3 linked regions of the Saccharomyces cerevisiae S288C genome follow. Changing the gene in region 3 together with the main gene of any one other region gives a genetic interaction. Each region holds a gene or a part of one and is shown on either strand. Other genes may lie near its edges.

What was found.
Region 1: mutations in HAC1 (region 3) and LAS21 together harm fitness more than expected from each alone (negative genetic interaction), as found in Saccharomyces cerevisiae (5 studies listed by BioGRID, with this or other methods).
Region 2: mutations in HAC1 (region 3) and ALG8 together harm fitness more than expected from each alone (negative genetic interaction), as found in Saccharomyces cerevisiae (5 studies listed by BioGRID, with this or other methods).

What each region holds. Positions count from the first base shown.
Region 1 is NC_001142.9:315,454-319,208, reverse strand, and holds the start of LAS21 (mannose-ethanolamine phosphotransferase LAS21), read right to left. Parts: upstream 1,926-3,755; coding exon 1-1,925. Other genes in the region: COA3 (Coa3p), read right to left, coding at 2,229-2,486; mitochondrial 54S ribosomal protein bL17m MRPL8, read left to right, coding at 2,734-3,450; DLS1 (Dls1p), read left to right, coding at 3,652-3,755. UniProt on the Saccharomyces cerevisiae protein: Ethanolamine phosphate transferase involved in glycosylphosphatidylinositol-anchor biosynthesis. Transfers ethanolamine phosphate to the GPI second mannose.
Region 2 is NC_001147.6:451,445-455,199, forward strand, and holds ALG8 (dolichyl-P-Glc:Glc1Man(9)GlcNAc(2)-PP-dolichol alpha-1,3-glucosyltransferase), read right to left. Parts: upstream 2,019-3,755; coding exon 285-2,018; downstream 1-284. Other genes in the region: VPS5 (sorting nexin 1), read left to right, coding at 2,324-3,755; VAM10 (Vam10p), read right to left, coding at 2,425-2,769. UniProt on the Saccharomyces cerevisiae protein: Dolichyl pyrophosphate Glc1Man9GlcNAc2 alpha-1,3-glucosyltransferase that operates in the biosynthetic pathway of dolichol-linked oligosaccharides, the glycan precursors employed in protein asparagine (N)-glycosylation.
Region 3 is NC_001138.5:73,287-76,802, reverse strand, and holds HAC1 (transcription factor HAC1), read right to left. Parts: upstream 1,625-3,516; coding exon 964-1,624; intron 712-963; coding exon 656-711; downstream 1-655. Other genes in the region: protein kinase RIM15, read left to right, coding at 2,376-3,516. UniProt on the Saccharomyces cerevisiae protein: Transcriptional activator involved in the unfolded protein response (UPR) pathway. Recognizes and binds to the UPR element (UPRE) in the promoter of UPR-regulated genes such as KAR2, PDI1, EUG1 and FKB2.

The sequences.
Region 1 (3,755 bases), on a different chromosome or scaffold from region 3:
AGAATTGTTATATAAACTTTCATATCTTTAATGAGGTAGTTCTTGTTAAGTACTTTCAATTTCGTCAGGACCAACCTTGAAATGACAACAATAGCCCAAGCTTGGAAGAAAACGCGCGCAAGTACAATCAAGTTACTTTCAGTTGGTGCAAAGTCTATCTTAGCCAGTAAATCATGCATAAAGAGCGGTATTTCTGCCTGGTTACCATTGACGATTTCCCACGAGATTTTGTACGTGAAACACAACCCCACCAAAATAGTAGTGACAATAAAATGTAGTACTTGAAAACCAGCAGATGCCATTATCAGCACTAGAAATGTCAACATATTTAAGCACCACTTCCAGGAAGGATTCTGATTAAGTAGATTGGACATAACGTTAGAATAAATGAATTTCTGGCCACTGTTATTCCAAAACTTGATTGAGCGTACGCATGCCATCATTATAAACCAGCGCACGATTATGAGCACATTCAATCGGTATACGAACAGAGGGACCGCCGAGAATGCAGTTACTATCCACCACCACAGTTGGTGCTCCTCTTCAATGAAACTACTTGCAAATGTGGAAACGCCTAGTATAATGGAAACTAACAGAACAGACAGGGAAGAAACGCGCAACTGCCAAAAATCAGGCCCAGAATAACGTAATAATACATAAATGGCGATGATTGTTATTATGAGGAAACCAACAAAAGCCAGTGTCAAAAGAGGATAATTATAATTTGTTGCAGACTTGGTTAACGTTTCTTGAATAGTGTACATCTTTGTATAAATATCTTCGGCAGTGAAATCGTCAAGAGCAACCTCGCCGTGATGGTCTGATAATTTCCACAAATGCATAAAATTTTCTTTCATACTTGCCAACTTATTGGGCAACAGTTGTAAAAAGTCAGGTATTATTATCCCAACACTGTTCATGGGGATTGGCATACCAAACAGTGCTGCTATGGTGGGGACGATATCAATTTGTTGAACAGTCTCTAAATACTGGAAATTCCAGTCCGGACTAGCGTTGATGGGCAATGTGTAGTTTACTTGCGATTCTGGCCTAGCAAATTGCGCCAGCTTAGGTGACAAAAACAACAATCCTGCTGATGTTTCGCCGGCTGAAGAGCCACCATGGTTGCCCAGTTCGTTCATTCCATGGTCGCCAAGAACACAAATCAGTGTATCATCGTCATCTTCATGTTCCAACACTTCATCATATATTGACTTCAGAATGCTGTCCATTTCTTGATGTTTAGCAGCCATAAACTTTGAATGCGGGCCATCTTTATGCCCGATATGGTCAAGACCCAAGTAATGCAGGATAGCCACGTCCCACTGGGCCCATTCCTGAAATAATTTCCCGGGCAAGTTCCTCGTCACATTATTATCGACTTGAGTGAAATCACTGACAAAGAACGAGTGTGTCGGGTCAGCGAAGTCAAACCATTGCTGTGGGAACAGTTTCAGCCAGGTGTCATCGCCCATGAAACGAATCGTGTTATTATGTTGGATGAACTGCTGCAGCCAGGAATCGTGCTCCGAAAGATCGTTGGAATCTATGTCCTGGGCTACATTCAGCAGCAAGTCAATGAAGCTAGGTGTAGATCCCGTAGTAATACTTTTGAGTCTAGGCAGCGTCACGGTAGGCGGATTAGCAAATGACGTGTAACCCCATGCTTCGCCCGTATTGAGCCATTGGTGCACGTTGTTGAAGTGGGAAATCTGCGAATCAAAAAGAAAGTCTGATCTGAGAGCATCAATGATCACAAACACCAATTTCTGGAAGGGCCTATCGCGCTGGAGATCACGGTCTTGATCCGGATCTTGCTTTGATATACCTGTCAGCACGATTTTTCTAGGGAAAAAAGCAAAGATAAAGAGCAGAATAGCGAGTAATTGAGCGCATGATAGGCACGTGAACTGCTTCAAGTTCATCTTGCTAACTTGGTGAAGTGTGCGTGGTAGATGAACTTATTTCGATATTGTTTATACTTTAACATTTTCCTTTTTTTTCCCAAACTGAGTTTTTCATCATATTCTTAAACTAAAGAGCTGGCTGTTAGAGTAGGACAAAGAGTATAAACAAACAGAATGTATGTATATATCCGTATAAGCATATCTATATATATATATATATACATATACGCAAGTAGGTAAACTATTTACAAAAGAGGAGAGAAGAACAGCGCAAAGCCTATTGATGGAAGACCACAGCGTACCTCCACATTAACGGTCTTTTCATGCCTTCTTCTTGGCTTCGTACTCCTTTTTGAGAGCCTCGAGCTCCTGCGGATCGATGGGTGGAATGGGCACGTCTGCAAAGTCGTTGTCCTTGTGCAGAAAATGATATGTGTAGTAGTAAACAGAGCCCGTGACACCCAGCAGCAGCGTGAGACCGAGCATATTGCCTTTGAAAAAGGGTTTACGGGCCCTGATCATGGCAGGCGTCATCTTCCACGTGCGGGTGTCTTGGTACTTGGACGGATTCAAAACCATACTACTTTGTCGTCTATATATGTGCTTTCGTTGCTGCTCACGTAGTATTGTTGCTTATGCCACCATAGTAAAGACTCCCTTTATACAATGAGCAAAAATCACTGCTTTGTCTGTCACCGCGTACGAGGCGGGAAAAGTTGGTTAACAAGAACAAGTGGGATTTGACAAGCTAAAACAGCTTATAACGGTCAAGAGATTTGGCTACGCCAAGGAGAAAAAACGGTGAGAAGCACAGTCGAGCGCAACAATGACAGTGGGTATTGCTAGGAAACTCTCTAGGGACAAGGCGCATAGGGATGCGCTGCTAAAAAACCTTGCGTGCCAGTTGTTTCAGCATGAATCTATAGTGTCAACGCATGCCAAATGTAAAGAGGCTTCCAGGGTCGCAGAGCGGATCATTACCTGGACAAAGAGGGCAATAACGACAAGTAATAGTGTTGCACAGGCGGAATTAAAGTCCCAAATTCAGAGCCAATTGTTTTTAGCAGGAGACAACAGAAAGTTGATGAAGCGGTTGTTCAGCGAGATCGCACCGCGGTACTTGGAAAGGCCCGGTGGGTACACGCGTGTGCTGCGGTTAGAGCCTAGGGCTAACGACTCAGCGCCGCAATCCGTCTTGGAACTAGTCGACTCTCCCGTGATGTCCGAATCGCATACGGTGAACAGGGGCAATTTAAAGATGTGGCTGTTAGTCAAGTCAGTCATCAACGATGACGCCAACCAGCTACCTCATAACCCACTCACATTGCAGAATCTTCACAAAGTGGCCAAGTTTAAAGCAGAAGCGCAGCTACATGGTGAAATTATGCTCATCAAGCAGGTCTTACTCAAGGAAATGTCCCTTCCCTATGATGAGGCACTCGAAAACGAAAGGACGCAGGCACTTTTGAAGGAGGTCTACTCTTCGTCATTGCCAAAGAAGACGAAGAAACCCTCCTCCTATGTCATGGTTCCCAGACCTTAAAAAAACCAGGATTTTGTGTATTCCCTTGTAAATATATAGATGACAATTGAAAGAACAGCGCTAACAATGTGCGTATTCTAATATAGTGTTTTTTTTTTTTTCCAACTAGAGAAAAAAATGAAAAATGTAAGAGAAACAAAACAGAAGAAACAAGAGAGAATAGCGTCAGGATAGCTCGCTCGATGTGATCAGGCTAACACAATGAACAACGAGACTAGTGGTAAAGAAACGGCGTCTGCACCTCTGTGTTCGCCCAAGTTACCTGTAGAAAAAGTGCAGAGAATAGCCAAGAATGATCCAGAATA
Region 2 (3,755 bases), on a different chromosome or scaffold from region 3:
GATAATATATTGAAGTAGTACTTATATACCTTTCAACTGATGCATGTGAATGGAGTTGACCTTCATTCAGTTTAATGTAATGTTATTTTAATTCAAGTGTAAAACGCACAATACGTAAACGAAAAATAATGAGGAACTGGCGTGAGGGACTGCATAAATCGAAATCTAATCGTTATTCAATTAGTTAGTAGGTGAAAATGTACAATAAATATTTCTAAAATCGATTCATATATAAATAATTTTATATCACTTTTTTTTTAACGTCCTAGGGAAGCGATATTGTATCACTGCCATAGTAATTCGTCAAAATTATATAACCACGATAAGGCAAACCACGAGCTGATTATACCTAATGAACAATAGACACTATATATCATTAATCCTAAGAATTCAAATTTTTGCAAAAATGAATATCTCCACTTGACTTCATCCAATATTTGTAATACGGTGACGATTGGTAACAATGAAAAGATGTACGTTAATGCCAACCTATCCAAGAAAAAGATTCTTCTTTCTACACTTGAAGAAATCTTCGTAGTTTTTCTAAAAGCGGCAAAATAAATTATACACCAAACATAAGTGTATAATGTTTTAATGAAAAAATCTTGGCCTTTGTACAGAAGAGGATACAAGGAAACATAACCAGCTGAGGCAACTAACATAAACGGTACCAAAAGACGACGATCAAATCCAACAAGAAATGTGAACGGAATGATGACTAGCATTATAGCTTTCTCATGCACATGCCACCCGAACAAAAACGATGCCAACCCACAGAGAGTCAACGAGCCAACAAATCTTTTGAACGATGGATCAAACAAAAGTGGAAGTACTGCTAAGACCTGGTAAAATATCGTCAAAATAAACGTTAATTTTGGAGGAATTTGAGGGAGAATAACAAAAAATACGTCTTGAACTAGACCTTTACTTCCATTGTTGTTTGCCGCGAGCCTTTCATTAATTTCCTTGATATTCTGAGGGATCAGAGGAGGTTTAATAAATTTTGTAGCAAAAGTGTGGACGTACGGTAATTTCAACATTACCGTAGTGAGTATTTTATCCATAAAAGAATACAACGCCCAGAAATTTGGTGCCCAATATGCATGCGTCAGTCCTCTTGAGAATGGGAATAACCTGCTCAACACTTGCGGCATTTGATGAGCAAATGGAAGGAAACAAATAGTGAAAATTCCAACAACAACGGTAGCCAACTTCAAAAGATTTGCCCATCTTATCAGGAACAAAAAATCTTTGTAACTTTTAAACTTGAAATTGTTGACATTGAGAACGTATGCTCTCAATAAAAACACGAAATAACATGGCGCCAAATATAAAAATATATGCTTGAAACATATGGCTGTAGTATACAGAACAGCGCACAAGATGTATCTCTTATTCTTGGCGGCGACAATGGAGCCTATTAGAATCGCAAAAAGAAAACCATTATATTGGAAGTGAATGTGATCTATTATTAAAAACCCGGGTGATAGTACAATGCTAGAAGCAACCACAAAACTTTGAGATCTTTCACTTAGCTTTGTAGTATTAATGTATATTTGAAGGATGACAAATAGAAGAATTTCGCTGAAGATGACAGTGAGTCGTTGGAAAACGATTGTTGGCAAACCGAACTTTCCGATCTCCACTATATCCAAACAACCGTCATCACGTACAGATTTAGGAACAAATTGCGATAAAAACCATTCAAAATAAGCAAAAAATGGCGGATAATCCAATGTCCATTGACTAGTGTGCTCATAATACCATTCGCTGATGGGCAATTTATTGGTGATTGCCAGCCAATTTCTATGAACGTCAAAATCTGTACTGAAGTAGTCAGGAATCAATAGTAATTTTAAAAACAATGTGCTTATCCAGAAATTCCATAAGGAGTAGCGCTTGGATCCCTCACCTTTTTCGGTCGCGGCAGTCTTCAAAACCTTTTTTGGCTCGTCATTTTTTTTTAACTTTGCCTTCTTTGTCACAGCCATATTTTGCCTCGAACGATCACCTTTCATCGTAGGCTATCCAATAGACGTCAAATGCCTTGCTGACCACTACAGAACTGTAATGAACTTCAGCTATTTTTAACGTATGTTATTCTATAATTCTATACCACTATTGTCGTTTTGAAAAATGAAATTTCACTTTTCGGAAGTTGTCCGCTAAGAACAACTAAGTGATAACAGTAAATTTTAAAAATGCTTTGAAAAATGGGTTAAGCAAAGGTTATTTACTATAACTACGTAGTGAACGAAACCATATATCTCTTAATTTGCAGCAGGGATTTTATAAACTTTCATACATCCTGCAATAACAAGCCATGGACTACGAGGATAATCTAGAAGCACCTGTTTGGGACGAACTAAATCATGAGGGAGATAAAACTCAGAGCCTCGTTTCAAATTCAATTGAATCAATTGGTCAAATATCTACAAATGAAGAAAGAAAAGACAATGAGCTTTTAGAGACCACAGCTTCATTTGCGGACAAGATAGACTTGGATAGTGCGCCAGAATGGAAAGACCCTGGTTTGTCGGTGGCTGGTAATCCGCAACTAGAGGAGCATGACAATTCCAAAGCTGACGATCTTATTAATTCTTTAGCCCCTGAACAGGATCCGATTGCTGATCTCAAGAATAGCACTACACAATTTATTGCAACAAGAGAATCCGGTGGCGCATTGTTCACTGGAAACGCCAACTCTCCCTTAGTTTTTGACGATACGATATACGATGCTAACACTTCACCAAATACTTCAAAAAGCATCTCTGGAAGAAGATCCGGCAAACCACGAATTCTGTTTGATTCCGCCAGAGCTCAAAGAAACTCCAAACGCAACCATTCTCTGAAAGCGAAGAGAACAACTGCTTCCGATGATACCATCAAAACACCCTTTACTGATCCCTTAAAGAAAGCTGAAAAAGAGAATGAATTTGTTGAAGAGCCATTGGACGATAGGAATGAAAGGAGAGAAAACAATGAGGGCAAGTTCACAGCTTCTGTTGAAAAAAATATCCTTGAGCAAGTGGACAGGCCTTTATACAATCTTCCTCAGACAGGTGCTAATATTTCAAGTCCTGCTGAGGTCGAGGAAAACTCAGAAAAGTTTGGAAAAACCAAGATTGGCTCAAAGGTGCCACCAACCGAAAAGGCTGTGGCTTTCAAAGTTGAAGTTAAAGACCCGGTCAAAGTAGGAGAGCTAACATCCATTCATGTGGAGTATACTGTAATCAGTGAATCATCATTACTTGAGCTAAAATATGCACAGGTAAGCAGGCGTTACAGAGATTTCAGGTGGCTATATCGTCAATTGCAGAACAACCATTGGGGTAAAGTAATACCACCACCACCAGAGAAGCAATCAGTAGGCAGTTTTAAGGAAAATTTCATTGAAAATAGAAGATTTCAAATGGAAAGCATGTTAAAAAAAATATGTCAAGATCCGGTTCTACAAAAGGACAAAGATTTTCTACTCTTTTTGACAAGTGATGACTTTAGTTCAGAGTCTAAAAAAAGGGCATTTTTGACTGGATCTGGCGCTATTAATGATAGCAACGATCTGTCAGAAGTCCGGATAAGTGAGATACAACTACTAGGTGCAGAGGATGCTGCCGAGGTCTTAAAAAATGGGGGTATCGACGCGGAATCGCACAAGGGATTTATGAGTATATCGTTTTCATCACTGCCCAAGTACAACGAGGCAGATGAATTCTTTATCGAAAAGAAACAAAAGATTGATGAACTGGAAGATA
Region 3 (3,516 bases):
AATTATATGAGCTTTCGTCTTCAACCAGTGCGATTATATAAAGACTGCGGAACAGAACATTCTTGGCCACTCCTCGAGGAGGACTACAGAGAGCCGTGAGAGTGAGAGTGATATGATGACTAAGGTCCTTTCGAAGGTATTTGATATAGTTATCACTCATTGGCCCGGAGTTAGGGGGAGATGTTCGCTTGCGGGAGCACGGGAGAAGGAACAGAGCGGCGTTAGCATCAAGTCTAAGGTTGAAAAGCTGCCCAACCTAAGGGCATACATCAAGAATTCTTTATAGTTTTATATAAAAAAATATATATATAGATAAATAGACAGATAGATATGACACAAACAGATAGAAAAAAAGCAGAGCGTGGCTCTTTGAGGTGGAACCCCAGCCAGTCTTGCTCCTTGCAGCCAAAAAAGGGTCTTGTTCAAGAGCTATGTTCAGTGTCGCTGCCCAGTCGCCACAAATAATTGTAGGAGGGCGCGCCAACCTCACGTTTGCATTCTTGAAAAGCCTCTTCTTCTTCGGTTGAAGTAGCACACACTAACCGGAGACAGAACAGTAGAAACCACTAAGCGAAAAAGAAATATATGAAAAGAAAAAACCCACCAACAGCGATAATAACGAGAAAAAAAAAATTATACCCTCTTGCGATTGTCTTCATGAAGTGATGAAGAAATCATTCAATTCAAATGAATTCAAACCTGACTGCGCTTCGGACAGTACAAGCAAGCCGTCCATTTCTTAGTAATAAGAAAAGAATGGCTCTATTTGTTCAGGAAAAACTAGCATAAAAGAAAAAAAGAAAGCTTCCAATAACCCTGCATTCTGCTTTTGAAGGTACTTTAACCGGCTCCTCCCCCATCAGAGAACCACGACTAAAAAAAAAAAAAAAGAAAAAAAGCAGAAAGCAAAAGCTGGGGCTAGTGTTCTTGTTCACTGTAGTTTCCTGGTCATCGTAATCACGGCTGGATTACGCCAATTGTCAAGATCAATTGAATTGTCAAAGGGTAGACTGTTTCCCGCTATATCGTCGCAGAGTGGGTCTGCCAACGGCGAGGCCACCGCATCAAACAAATTGTTGTTGTCTACGGCAGGTAGCGTCGTCGACTCTGGTACATTTTCCGTCTTAAACATCTGCAGCTCCCATGAAGTCTCTTGGTCCGACGCGGAATCGCGCATACTCTTGGGCGACAAAGTCGCAGGCTCCATTGTACAGTTCAGAGGTGAAGGTGTGAACGTATCAGACGACGAGTGCGAACTGGCCCTGGTGTCCAGTGAAGCGCCCCTCGTGCTCTGGAAATCCCTGTACTCGTCAAGAGAAGCAACAAAAGCGTCGTGGCTGCAAGTCAACGCGTCTTCGTGGTCAGCCAGTTTTTCAAGGTTGACGCTGTTCAGTAAATTTTCCAAAAGAGAACATTTTCTCTCGAGATACTGCAGATGTAGTCTTTTTTTCTCTCTGCTCTGGTGAGCAGCTCTTCTGTTTCTCAAAATACGCTCGATCCTTCGCTGTTCCTTTTCCTCTTTTGTCTTGGCTCTTTTCCTTGGAGGCAGAGTCGACTTGAAGTTGGTAGGGATAGCCAAGTTCGATTGCGAATTACTAGTTAGTTCAAAATCAGTCATTTCCATAGTGGCGGTTGTTGTCGTAGGTGGGGGAGGAGGAGGTTGTTATGTTTGACACTGAGTTAAAGCCTTGGAAGTTTAAATAAAACAAGAAGACAAGAAGAAAGGAAAATTTCGCTAAAAAACATATTTCTGTATTCATTTCTCGAGTTGTCCATTGAGGTGAAATTTCTTCTAATATATAGTGAATGTAGGGAGCGAGAACAAAAGAGAACAAGGTGTTCAAAACCACGTTCATCACTCGGTACGATGTATATTTGCGACTCTTTTTAGCCCTACTTAATGCTGAGCCACTTTGCCTTACAACCCTCATAAATGTATTTTTATCCTAGCTTCTTTTTCCATATTGCCCTAGGTCTTGTTTATTCATGTCACGTGACTATATTTCCAGGTTTTTCTTTTTTTCCTCGTCCCTTTTGTGGGAAAAGAAAGCGTCCTTACTAAAAATGAGGGAGCTTTAACTTTAATATACAGCTTTTGGCAGCTTGGTGTTGTTTTTCATTGTAAAAATAAGTTGTTGTTCGTATCACAGCATTTTCAACTTCTGCATTGTCTGCCGTTTTTTGTATAGATATAGACGTATATATATATACAGAATTCTCTATCCTCTTAACCACTCCTGGAAGGCCTGCTGTAGAGGTTCTGGTGGGTGCTTTTACTGAATTCCTAACTCATCAAGCATTTTCCCTTTTTTTTTTTCCCTTTCCTTTCTCTTGCCTCATTTGATAGAATAGATAAGCCCAGTAGAGGAAGACAGATGTTCAATAGAAGTAACACCGCAGGCGGATCTCAGGCTATGAAAGAGGGACTTGGCATAAACAAGCTCTCCCCGATATCATCGAATTCGAACCCAAGCTCATTGACTTCCTCCAATTATGAAAAATATCTGCAGCTGGCCACAGAGAAGAATCCGTGTATGATCTTGGAGCTGGAACTGGACGGCAAGGTGCGATATGGCTCTCCACAGTGGAACACGATCACAGGAGTCGCCGATGATAGTGGCTCTTCTCCGACGTACATTGCAGACCTTATTCTCGGATCCGATCAAGATAAAGGTGTCTTTCAAAAGGCCACAGACATGCTGCTCATGAATGATGACACCAGTTGCACTATAACGTTCAAGATAAAGGCAGCCGACTATGAAGGTAGCGCAGGCTGTGACGATGAAAGTACGATAACGACCTTGGAAGCACGTGGTATCTTAATCAGGGATGGCCACACACAGTTGCCCTCTCACACGATGTGGATAGTCAAGCCTCGCACAAACGACTGGTCAGACTTTTATGCCAACGAAGACGCTCAAGACGACATGGTCATCCAGTTATCCGATAATTGCGACGATATCGATATCCAACTTCCCGAAGAGTTCGCCAAGACGCTTGGGTTCGGCGCTAAGATCTTCGTGCAGTACTTGAAGAGAATACGACTGGAAATGATAATAGACGAGTTCAATCTACCTCTGCCAAAAATGGAACTATGCCGGGTCTGTGAGAACTTTGTCCCTGTTTGGTGGTTGGAGACCCATTCGCAAAGTTGCGTTTGCGAGCATAGAACGGAATCGCTCATACAATTACTACACGATAATCTTCTTGAGCAACAGGCGATCTTGGCAAACTTCACGAAAGATTCAGAGTATAAGGGCAGTCAGATACAGGTACGTTCCAACAACTTCCTTAACCAAGTTTTAGACTCCTTAAGAGAGCTGTGTCAGGACGCCATAGATATCAACCCGAGTGAAATGGTTCCTGATCTTTACCACAGTCTTTCAACATTTCCTCAAGATAATGGTAATAATAACAATAATAATAATAATAATAATAATAATAACAATGCTTTGTTAGATCAATTCCCTATCCAAAAAGATACAGTTAGCTTGAATTCATATTTTCAGTTTTCCC